Pelodiscus sinensis: one gene and its partners. The protein of the gene in region 2 interacts with the protein of the main gene of each other region in a pairwise test. Links are inferred from orthologs where the notes say so. Each region holds a gene or a part of one and is shown on either strand. Other genes may lie near its edges. The genes, in order: WDR74, RGS2 and CTSB.

The links.
Region 1: the proteins of RGS2 (region 2) and WDR74 interact in a two-hybrid assay, tested with the Homo sapiens proteins (2 studies listed by BioGRID and IntAct). The link is inferred for Pelodiscus sinensis from reciprocal best matches to the Homo sapiens genes RGS2 and WDR74.
Region 3: the proteins of RGS2 (region 2) and CTSB interact in a two-hybrid assay, tested with the Homo sapiens proteins (2 studies listed by BioGRID and IntAct). The link is inferred for Pelodiscus sinensis from reciprocal best matches to the Homo sapiens genes RGS2 and CTSB.

The regions. Positions count from the first base shown.
Region 1 is NC_134721.1:36,469,418-36,473,163, reverse strand, and holds the start of WDR74 (WD repeat-containing protein 74), read left to right. Parts: upstream 1-776; 5' UTR 777-874; coding exon 875-935; intron 936-1,012; coding exon 1,013-1,119; intron 1,120-1,208; coding exon 1,209-1,330; intron 1,331-1,997; coding exon 1,998-2,061; intron 2,062-2,314; coding exon 2,315-2,458; intron 2,459-2,799; coding exon 2,800-2,901; intron 2,902-3,746. UniProt on the Homo sapiens protein: Regulatory protein of the MTREX-exosome complex involved in the synthesis of the 60S ribosomal subunit. Participates in an early cleavage of the pre-rRNA processing pathway in cooperation with NVL.
Region 2 is NC_134719.1:50,075,285-50,079,030, forward strand, and holds the start of RGS2 (regulator of G-protein signaling 2), read right to left. Parts: upstream 2,237-3,746; 5' UTR 2,128-2,236; coding exon 2,021-2,127; intron 740-2,020; coding exon 638-739; intron 525-637; coding exon 463-524; intron 1-462. UniProt on the Homo sapiens protein: Regulates G protein-coupled receptor signaling cascades. Inhibits signal transduction by increasing the GTPase activity of G protein alpha subunits, thereby driving them into their inactive GDP-bound form.
Region 3 is NC_134713.1:2,339,043-2,342,788, forward strand, and holds the start of CTSB (cathepsin B), read left to right. Parts: upstream 1-1,525; 5' UTR 1,526-1,678; intron 1,679-2,376; 5' UTR 2,377-2,485; intron 2,486-3,746. UniProt on the Homo sapiens protein: Thiol protease which is believed to participate in intracellular degradation and turnover of proteins. Cleaves matrix extracellular phosphoglycoprotein MEPE. Involved in the solubilization of cross-linked TG/thyroglobulin in the thyroid follicle lumen.

The DNA of each region.
Region 1 (3,746 bases), on a different chromosome or scaffold from region 2:
GTGTGGTGGTGCATAGATCCCAAGATTAGGGCCTCTCTCTGATTAGGCTTTGCAGAGACTGAATCCTCTGGGCAGATGTACAGCAAGAGCCAGTCCCTACCTTGATGAGGTTAGACTATAAACAGCCAACAAAACCAGTGACTTGTAATGGGCTCTTTCTGCTCTCTGTTTTCAAATTCTCAGCTGTGCCCATGACCAGGGTTCCTGATTGGGATGTGTCATTGCAACTTACTGCTCCTTGTCACTAAGCATCTTTCACGACTATTACTTTGAGCTGTGACTGTCATGTGAATGGGAGTTCCCCCAGCCCAACTCTGGCCTCAGCCCCTGGTCTGGTCCCTTACCATGATGATCCTCCTGCTGCTGTGGGGACAGAGATGGGGATCTCTCTCTAGTAGTGTTCCCTGTAAGCTAAGCACTTGGGCAGCTGCCCAGGAGAGATTCAGGTGCTGCCCAGCTGATTAACAGAGCACCCAGGGCTAACAGCATGTGTTTATATGGTGGTGCACCTCCATGCATGCCTTAGTGCACATAAAATTTATTCTGCAAACTGACACGAAAAAGTAGAGGGAATATGGCTCCCCACTGAGGGGAGGGGCGAAGAGCTCACAGCATCTGCTCTGGCAGCAGTCGAAATCTGTGGGGAGAGGGGAACGTTCCAAATGGGACTAGGGAAGGAAAGGGTTCGGTGTGACACGACGAACCGGAAGCGGCTTCGGCCTGACCTGACAGGCTAACCAACATCCGGCTTTTGGCGTGTCTCTGTAAGAGGGCCGGCCTCGCACCACTTCCGATCTTTTCTCGCCCACGCCGGCGCACCAGAACTGGCTGGAGGGTGCGAGCCGGAGCGGATAGAGCGAGGCACCGGGGCAAAATGGCGTCTCCTGCGCGGTGGAATCACGTGTGGGTCGGATCCGAGACCGGGATCCTGAAAGGTATCGGGGGGAGAGGGCGTGATGGGGCGGGAGCTTGTCCCGTCCCCGGCTGTGACCACGTCCCGTCTCTCTCCCAGGCGTCAATCTGCGGCGGAGACAGGCTACTAATTATGTGGCGGCTTCGGCGCTTAGCCGGGAAGAGGGAGTCTGCGCCATGTGCTGGGGGGACCCATCCGAGTCCGAGGTGAGGGGTTTGTGGCGGGGGGGGGGGGGGAGGAGCAGCAGCAGCAGCCCGGGGCGCCCCTGACACTTCTCCTTCTCATCCTCCTCTAGATTCTCATCGGCTGCCTGGACCGGTCGGTGAAGCTGTTCAGCACCGAGAAGGGGAAGTTCACAGAGTCGCGGCAATGTCTGGGCGGGGAAGGCGCCTTCTGCGGTCTGGCAGTGCACGACAAGTGGGTCTTGCACCATGAACCCAGCAGCTGCCCCCTTATTCCACTGTGTCTGTTTTCAGTTCCTTATCAGAACTGTGGGCCCATTTAACTCCAGATTGTATCCATCCCTTCCTGATATTGGTCCTATCTAAATCCAAATCTCTCACAATCCTCCCCTTCTGGGACTCAGTCTCTATCCCCCAGTCTCTCTTCCCTTTCTGCGGACCCACAGATATAACCTTGAATGTCATGCATCAATCTCTTGGAATAGGTTATTCACCTGCACTCTGCCACCCACAAAATAGATCCTGGAGCCCATTGACCCTCACATCACAATATGCATATACACATCTACCTTTGGGACAGACCAAAACGGACACATGTAGTCTGCTGTCATGTTTTACAGCAGCTGCTGTTGAAAGGCTCAATTAGAGATTTACTCTGCCCTGCTCCCACACAGGAATACATGCCTGTAAAAGGGAAAAAGCATTTCTTTAATTTTTTTTCACCAGGGAATTCAGTTTCCTTTGTGACACCAATTCACAGTTTGTCGGACCATCTGTCTAGCCCCCTAATTATAGCAATGAGTGTGGCCTGGGCCTATGTTGAAAATTGACAATGTTTTATTTCTTTCTGTCACTACTTGGATTTTCTCCCTCTCCCACCATCATTTGGCTGGTACCTGCAGTTCCTTCATCACCTGTGTGGAGTCTGGTCTCCTCAAGGTCTGGAGAGATGCCTCATCTGAAAATGTAAGACTTTTATGGGGAAAGATGCAGGGCAAGGGATGCTGGGTTGGTGGCAGTGGGTGCTGTGTTAGGGAGGAATCCGAGGTCGGATTAGCACCAACACTTGTTTCCTTGCACAGTAATCCAAGGGAGTCAAGATGTGTGGGGACAGTTCCTGATTGCACTTCCCTCTCGTCATAGGGCAGTGCAGCTCAGTCCTGCCAGGATCGCCACATTTGGAGTAATATAAATCCTTCCTCATTGCTACCCCGTTTAGGTAGAAACACAGGTTGGAGCTGGGGTGTGCCGTATGCGCCAAAACCCGGTTCACCCGCAGCGTGTGGGGACAGGTGGGAAGGAAAATGCCCTGAAGGTCTGGGACCTGCAGCGGCCGGAGGAACCCATCTTCCGTGCTAAAAATGTAAGTGTCTGCCTCAGATGTACACCCTACTTCCTTGTGCTCTAGCCATGCTTCCTCTGGCCTAGAGAGCCCCAACCATACCCAGGCTTGGCTGTTCCTGGGGAGACAGGTCTATATCCTGTTTCTTGAGGGAGAATCTGTTCTCACCCCTCCCCCATTGTTCCCCAGTCCTGAATCTGTGCCCTACAGTACACTTTATCTCTCCATCCTTCCCAAATCTGGTAAGATTTGCATTTCATCTCCCGCCCTTGCTCATAGCCCAGCGCCTTCTTGGGACATTTGAGAGCAAGTCAAATATAGGCATTGTGGTTCCACTTACACCCAACTTGCCCTCTTTGCAGGTGCGGAATGACTGGCTCAGTCTCCGGGTTCCTGTCTGGGAGCGTGACCTGCAGTTTCTACCTGGCTCTGAGAAGATTGTCACCTGCACTGGGCATCACCAGGTAGGAGCCTGATGGTTGTATTGGGGTGCAATGGAGGGAGTGGGGTGTGCAGAAGGGAGGATTAGAGTCTGGAGGAGTCTATCGGTAGGGGAATTTGGGTCTGTGGAGGAACTTGGGAGGTGATGAGTTTGTGAACTGGGTTGGGGTGGGAAAGGGATCAGGGTCTGGGGAGCAGGCAGTGGGAGAGGTGAGCAGACTGGTGTATGAGAGGGACTGGAAAGCGGGGGACCTGAAATGATGGGGAAATGAAGGTGCAGGATGATGGTTGGGAAAAGAAATAGGTATGGGGTTGTGGAGCAGGGGGATGGAAGGATGTGGGATTGGGGTCTGGAGGAGTTAGGGGGGCTGGGCAGATGGGGCGGGATGATTGGGGGAATGGAAGGAAGAGAATTGGAGCAATCAGAATTGGGGTGTGGATGGGGGGTCATGGCATGAGGTGCAGAAGGTGGGGGAGCAGGGAGGGGAGGCAGATTAGTTCGAGGGGCAGAAATTGGAGGGGCAGGGGTACTGGAAGGAGGGATATTCAGGTGATGGGAAGGTTTGTAACCTGATAGCTAATAACCTCTGGTGCCCCCGGCTCACCTGATTGGGCAGGGGTGGGCAATAATTTTTGCCCCAAGGGCCACTTCAAAAAATTTTGAAATAGCCCCGGGCCACCCTGGAAGGGGTGGGGCCTAAATGAGAAGGGATGGGACTACCTCACTTCCAGACCATGATTGGTCTGGGGGTGGGGGAGCCCCTTTGCCTCCCCTTCCCACTAGGCACCCATGCCCTGGAAGAGGCTTGGCACACTCCCCCACCCCCAGGCCAATCAAGGTCTGGGGGCAGAGGATGGCAGGAAGCCT
Region 2 (3,746 bases):
ATTTACAACAAAGCTATAAACCTTTGGAAGACATTTGCAATGGAAAGAGTGACTCAAAGTTCATTATCAGCAAATGCTAATATTTTTTTCTTAATCAGCAATTAAGTGGTTTTCTTTGCAGAGTGGCTATAAAACCCACAGAGCCTCAAGTCCACAGTGGCTTAATGTGAATATGTTTAATAGCACTAGAAGGAGGATTTGTCTTGGAGAGAATTATTAAGTGCAGAAAAATCTTTGATAAAGATTTTAGGAAGTGGGATTTTGGGTTGTTTAAAATAGAAGTGTTGGAGACCAATATCAAGGTGAATGCAGGAGGTTATTCAAAGGGTAATTTATAATACGGATGGAAAACCACTGTTTGTTCTTATCTGAGGTAGTGTTTATTATTACAAAAACCCACAAAGACCAAAACACCTTTATATTTTTACAGTGATTTGTTATTTTTTTTTCAGACTGACTTACATTTATTAGCTAGAAGTTCATCAAAAGCTTCTGACCAAAGCTGGGCTTCTTCAGGAGAAGGTCTATATAAAAGGATGGAGAGTATAGTTAGGTTGTTGAACAGCACATTTTTCTACTCCCTTGAATGCTAAAATATTTGAAATTCATTTGAGTGAAATCTGAATATTTAATTTACCTGATGTAAGAATGTTGCTTTCCTTTTTTGTTGGACTTGGTTTTTGTAGAAGTGGAAGAGTTTTGCAGGAAGTAGCTCAACCTTGTTTTCCAATCCTTAATGCTAGAGGAGAGAGGAAGAGAGGAAAATACATTAAAATGAGAGTTAACTGAAATTATACTTTCAGCTTTACACATTTTGACTAGAGATGGAACTGAGCCTGTAATCCATAAAGAGAATGAAAAATTGCTCTTGTAGTTGATGGTAGTTGTGCCTGCTTAATTGTGGGATCAACCCTCAACTCTTTAAGTTCTATTTCAAGAACATGGGATTCAATCTTTCTGTCTCAGACAACCGTAGTTTCCCCACTGCACTGATGGAGCACTTGAGATCACACAGCCACTGGAAAGTGACTAATTATAACTAAGGCATCTGTAACAGTTTCACAATCAGAGGTGTGCTGCTCTGACGAAGGACCTACGCTCTTCCCCTAAGGCCCAATCCTGTGGTCTGTCCTCAGTGGGTGTTTTAGCAGATTGAAAACTTGGGATGGGGGCCTCTGGTGCTCAGATATTTAACCCTCTTCATTTGGAGATTTAATCTCTTCTTGTTGGATTTTTGGAAGAGACAAAAACTGGATCTGCGAGATTTAAAAATGTCTTTTCAGTGCGGCAGCTAGTCTAGTTTAGGGCCATGTGGTGAATGTGGATCAGGTGAGACTAAACTCCACAAGAACTGCAGCACAATTGTCTCCATTAGCCTCTATGTGAAACTGGGAATTGAAGACTAATTTATCCCTTACATTTTAAATATCATGTCTTATCCAGGCAATGCAAACTGAATATTCATTATAGATCTAATAATGTAAGATATTCAAGATCTGTTTTTGCTTTGGCAAGAAGCAAACTCAGTTAAATTTTAAAAGTCAAATGACAGAACCATTTAAAGACACCAATCAAATGTAAAATTGCACAGCTAGCTGGGTAAATAATGAATGGGGGAAATATGTGCTTACATTTTCACCACACAAGCATAAACTGAAATAAACCATTTCTGCACAAACCCTACATTTTTTCTGAACTGACGATGACAGTTATATTTTTTATCAAATGATCAGTTCAACAAAAACAGGATTTTTTTTTCTCATGAGTGCTTTTGAAGTGGAGATATTTTGCCATTTTAAAAATCCAAGCTGACATCAAATACATAAATCAACCCATTCTTGCACTGCTTAGGTATTGCACCCAAAGTCATTTTTAAAAAGTCAGTGCTGTCAGATTCTTACCAAATAGTGTAAACATTTTCTCCTTACTGAGATGCAAGCTCCCTATTTTGAATCACTGTTCTGAAAGCCACAGGTAGCTATTTATATGAATTAAATCTGCTATAAATACATAAACTTACACAGTTCTCTTCATCTTTCCTTTCTTCTCCTCATTTTGACAGCTGCTGGGAGTTCTCTCCATTTGTCCACAGTTGTGCTGAAGAGCAAGGAAGATTGCACTTTGCATACTTCTTCTGTTTTATCCCAGGGTCTATCGCTGATCTGCAGCAGCACCCTTTTCTTCACTGAGAAGTTGAACGTGAAGAGAAAGGCAGCCTTTTTTTATAGAAGGCAGTAGGGGAAAGGGTTGGGTTTCGGTTACGCCTCCTGAGCACACTGATTTGCTTGTGGGAAGCACACCAAAGCACACTCCCATATCACGTCCTTAAAAGGCTCTTACTCTGAGTACAGTGCTGACGCAGTGTTCTCTTCTGTTTTATGCAGTCTCCACTTGCAAAAAAACCTGGTCTGGTTGCTGCAGATTCCAGCAAGATGGAGAATTTTTTTTATTTGTTGCCTGCTGCATGTGTCTTCACAAAGCTTGAGTGCCCTGCACATTTGAAGGCAGAAGTGCAGAATCACTTGTTGGTTTATAATCCAACATGGAAAGAAAAACAATAGGAATAGCGTTAAGGGTCCTAGCTGTGCTCTTTAAAAATTTACCCTTACCTCCTATCCTTCTAAAGGAAAATATACCTTGAATTTCTATTTGTGGATTAATATGTTAACAATATAATAATGCTAACAAAATAAGATGTGTTATTGCACTCTCCAGAATCTTCAAGTAATCTGGAATTGTCCCAACTGTTCTACAATTGATTTAAAAAATGCTAACTAAGATAAGCAATGTCTCATATTTCTCATCAGCTTATGTTTGTGTCTGGGAAGGAGAGGATATACCAGGATCACTGCTGAATCATCTGTATTCCTAACATTATTCAGTTGGAACTAAAAGATTACTGTACCCCTGATGCAAAAAGTTTTGCACTTGGAAATGTTTGTACAATTGGTATTTGTTCTCATGCTAATACTGCCTGGAAGTTCTTTATGGAATCCCAGTGGCTTGGCAGAGGTAGCGGCTAATTTTCTGTAGTACTGAGTGAAGGTTAGGTGACAGCGTTATGTTCAGTTCAACACATTAGAAATTCATTTTTAACAAGCCCATATGCTAAAACTGTTTTTGCTTTCCAAGAAGCCAGTTCTTTTGAGTTTGCATCTTATTAAAAGAATAGAGAAGGGTTCTAAGGCCTGGTTCAGATACCCTTACAAAAGAAAGATGTGAAAAGTTGGAGTGTACAATACATGGGAGATTTTATCTCAGTGATAACTTGAAATATTTTTTTCATACTCATAAGCATGACAAAACATATATGTGTAAGCCGTGCCTGCATACTGTGGCACTCTGTCCCCCACTAGTAGCGTCAAGGCCAACTACAGCTTGATGAGCCTGCTATAGCCTTGGCTCACAAACCTGGAATTTTTAGTTCACGCAGTAGAGGGCCAGGCTCTGGTATTAAGATCCAGAGGTCTCAGCTTCCACTAGCATAGGAATGAGTGCCATACATACATAGCAAGCCTTGCTTCCATATATTTTCGTAACTCAGCCATTTGCCAATAAATTGTGCATATTAGTGCTAGTGCATGTACTCATTTATCTGAATGCCTCTTCCTTTAGCTAAAATGTAAGCATGTATGTGGTACCTTCTGCACTGTGTTAAGCAGTAGAGGGTGTCCTGCTAGTATTTTTCCCCTCTACCAACATATAACACTTCTCAAATTGTAATGCTCCATACCTATGATTAATGC
Region 3 (3,746 bases), on a different chromosome or scaffold from region 2:
CACATGAGGGTGCAGTGTGGCATTGCTGTGAAACCCAGCCAGCTGAGTCCAGGGACATATGAGGGGGTCAGCTTGTGAGTGCTGAGTACCCAGTCCTCTCAGACGTGCTCTGACTAGTGTGTGTGAGTGTCTGTGTGTGTTGCCAAGGTGGGAAGAACCCCGTCCTGAGGAACCTAGTTCCTGCAGGAGAGCTCCAGTGGGAGGGGGAATTGGCAGCAGGGAGAATTCAGCTCCATATGAGAGCCCAAGTAAGCACCAACAGCACACTGATAGAACTGTTAACCTTCCCCCAGTCCCATAAGGGTATCCCTGATAAATGAGCATACCCCAGAGTATTGGGCAAATCTGATAACAGGAAGGAGGTGCTGGAGTTAGGGTTGAAAGGGCCACAGAGCAGGGGTTGGGGCCAACAGGGCACCATCCAGGAGTTCAGGGGGCCAAGGGAGGTGGGCTGCCCGTAGGAGCCAGAGCCAGTGGAGGGTACCAATGGGGCTAGGGTACAGGGGCATCGCTGCACCCCCAGGAGTCAGGGCACCAACATCCGAGCGTACCGGGGGCGAGTTGCCGAAGGCCGGCCCAACACTGCGCGATGTGGCAACGCCCCAGGCGACCCACCGCATCAGTGACTGTCAGATGCCCGGCTGTGCTCGGGACTGTCTCAGGGCATGCAAGCCGGGGCCGGCTCTGGCCTGGGGGGCAGGCAGGGGAGATGGGCTGCGGTGGGGACCCAGGGCTGCAAGACTCAATGGGAACTTGCTCCTGGCCTGGGGCAAAGGCAAGGCGGGGGCCTGGGAAATGGGGTAACAGCGGGGGCACTGCATCAACCACAGCCAGGCCCGCTGCGGGGCTTGGAGAGGGGGCAGGTGGGGGGGGGGTAGCTGGGATGCACCATTGCAGGGCCTAGAGGGGGGGTAGTGGGGGGTGCAGGGACACACCATTGCGGGGCCCCGGGGGGGGTGCAGGGACGCACCATTGCGGGGCCCCGGGGGGGGGGGTGCAGGGACGCACCATTGCGGAGTCTGGGGGGGTGCAGGGACGCACCATTGCGGGGCCCCGGGGGGGGGGGTGCAGGGACGCACCATTGCGGGGCCCCGGGGGGGGGTGCAGGGACGCACCATTGCGGGGCCCCGGGGGGGGGGGGTGCAGGGACGCACCATTGCGGGGCCCTGGGGGGGTACAGGGACGCATCATTGCGGAGTCTGGGGGGGTGCAGGGACGCACCATTGCGGAGTCTGGGGGGGTGCAGGGACGCACCATTGCGGGGCCCCGGGGGGGGGTGCAGGGACGCACCATTGCGGGGCCCTGGGGGGGTACAGGGACGCACCATTGCGGGGCCCGCGGGGGGGTGCAGGGACACACCATTGCGGAGTCTGGGGGGGGTGCAGGGACGCACCATTGCGGGGCCCCGGGGGGGGGTGCAGGGATGCAGCCTTAGGGCAGCTGGCAGCTGACGCGCCCCGCAGAGCTCGGGCAGTGGCCGCCGTCATATGACTCGCGGGGGGGGGGGGGGGGGTACGGTCACATGACTCGGCGGGGGGGGGCAATCACATGACCGAGCCTGCTGCGGGGTCAGGCGCTGCTGCAGCGGGAGGAGTCGGGGCTGAGTCAGCGCCGGGCGGGGCGGCTCATAAGGAGCCGGGCGGCGGCGCGGGGCGGCGGAGCGAGGGGCTCGGATCGGGTGAGGGGCGGCCGGTCACCGGGGAGCTGGGGCAGAAGGGGGGGCTCTGGGGGGGGCGCTGGGGCAGAAGGGGGGGGCTCTGGGGGGGCCGAGCTGGGGCAGAAGGGGGGCCCTGGGGGGGCGCTGGGGCAGAAGGGGGGGTCCTGGGGGGGCCGAGCTGGGGCAGAAGGGGGGCCCTGGGGGGGCGCTGGGGCAGAAGGGGGGCTCTGGGGGGCGCTGGGGCAGAAGGGGGGCCCTGGGGGGGCGCTGGGGCAGAAGGGGGGGCTCTGGGGGGCGCTGGGGCAGAAGGGGGGCCCTGGGGGGGGCGCTGGGGCAGAAGGGGGGCCCTGGGGGGGGCGCTGGGGCAGAAGGGGGGCCCTGGGGGGGGGAGCTGGGGCAGAAGGGGGGCCCTGGGGGATCTGGGGCCGAGCGGGGGGCTGTGGGGTTCCTGGGCTGGCCGTGGGGGATGGGGTTGGGGGGGAGACCCAGTGGGGGAGGGGGCAGGAGAGAGCTGCTGGGGCGGGGGGGGGGGGGAGATGTTTGGAAGTGGCGGAGGGGTGGGGAAAACCCCTCTCCTGTCCCTCCCTCTCCCAGGTGGGAAAAGCCCAGAGCCTGGGGAAGTCGGCTCAGATTGTGCCCCCCCCCCCCCCTGCCAGGAAATGCGAGGGGGGGGGGGGTTGGCGCAGGCCTGGCCTCTCACCACCTCTTCCTTTTTCCAGCTGATCTGCGAATCCGGATCCCCGCCGGTGTCCAGGCAGTGTCTGCGGCGCTGGAGTCGCCCCTCTGCTCCGGAGCCTGCATAACCGCTTCCCGGCGCTGAGCTCAGAGGTACGGCCCAGCCTGTGTTGTGGTTACGGGAGGCGACTTTCTCACAGCAGGCTTGATGGGTGGCTGGGGACGTGCCGCACAAAGTCATTCCCCTCGCGAGTTCGGTGTTGGCCTGTGGCAGGGTTTTCCGGGGGTTTTTAGGAGCAGCTCTCGGCCAAAAAGCAATTCTGTGTCCTGCCAGCGAACTGCAGCCTCATGGGCTTGTAGAACTGAAATTCTGGATATAGGAGTCAAATTCTTATCTCTGCTGGGCACGTCTGGGGTGACCTTGGGCCTGTCCCTTTGAGCCTGCTTCTCGGAGTTACCGAGTAGCTGCAGTGCTCTTCTAGGGGATCCAGCATCTCAGCCCACCTCCTCACAGGAATTTTGGCTCCAAATTTGCATTAATTTCAATGGGAGTGTGACATCTAAAAACCTTGCAGGGGAGGGGGACCTTGGCCACATCCCGAGCTTGCAGGGACACCGTGTGATGTGTGTTATGAATTCTGATTCTGGAGGGACCAGCGCCATGTGACTAGGTTGTGGATGGGCAGGGAGTAAGTTCGGATGCCTCCTAAATTTGCAAACTGGGCAGCCCAAGGAAGAGGAAATGTAGGGAGCGGAATTTATGGGTTTTTTTTTTTTAATTCGGTGGCCTTCAGTTAGATTCCTCTGTTTTGAGTGTTGTTTTCTGGCAGCAAGATGGTGGAAAGATCAATAAACTAAACCCAAAACTGCAGCAGCAGAAACTTCCAGAGTGAAACTCCAGCAATGAATCCCCCCCCTCTAGTGTGGCTTCTGAAAATCTTACCCTGTAAAAAGGAACATTTGGTATTAGTAAAAAAATCATAAGAGCTGTACCTGATTGTTTTTGCTGAGGTTGATACTGGCCGAGCGCCTTGCTTATAAATGCAACCCGCTCCTTTTGGTGCTCACACGCGAAGCTGTCCTTTTGGAAGGAACCTGAGGAGAGTGGTTCCCATGGTAGCTGAACCTGCTTCTGCCGGGCGGGGCTCTGCTAGCCTCGCCCAGGAGGGTGCTGCTTCCAAACCAAAGTCCCCTCTTGTGTGTGGTCACTTGACCTTCTGCTCCTTGTCCCGTATCCAAATCTAGCAGCCTGACCGAACTGCCCGTCTCCCCCGTTGCTAAATATCAGTGCTGCTTGTAAAGCAGGGTGGAAGTCCACTTTCCAGTCTGGTGCAGTAAAACCCGGTTCCAATTTGGAGACTCCACTCTGGCAGATACTGGTTATCTTGTCTCTTTAAGAGAGTTCACTTGCACT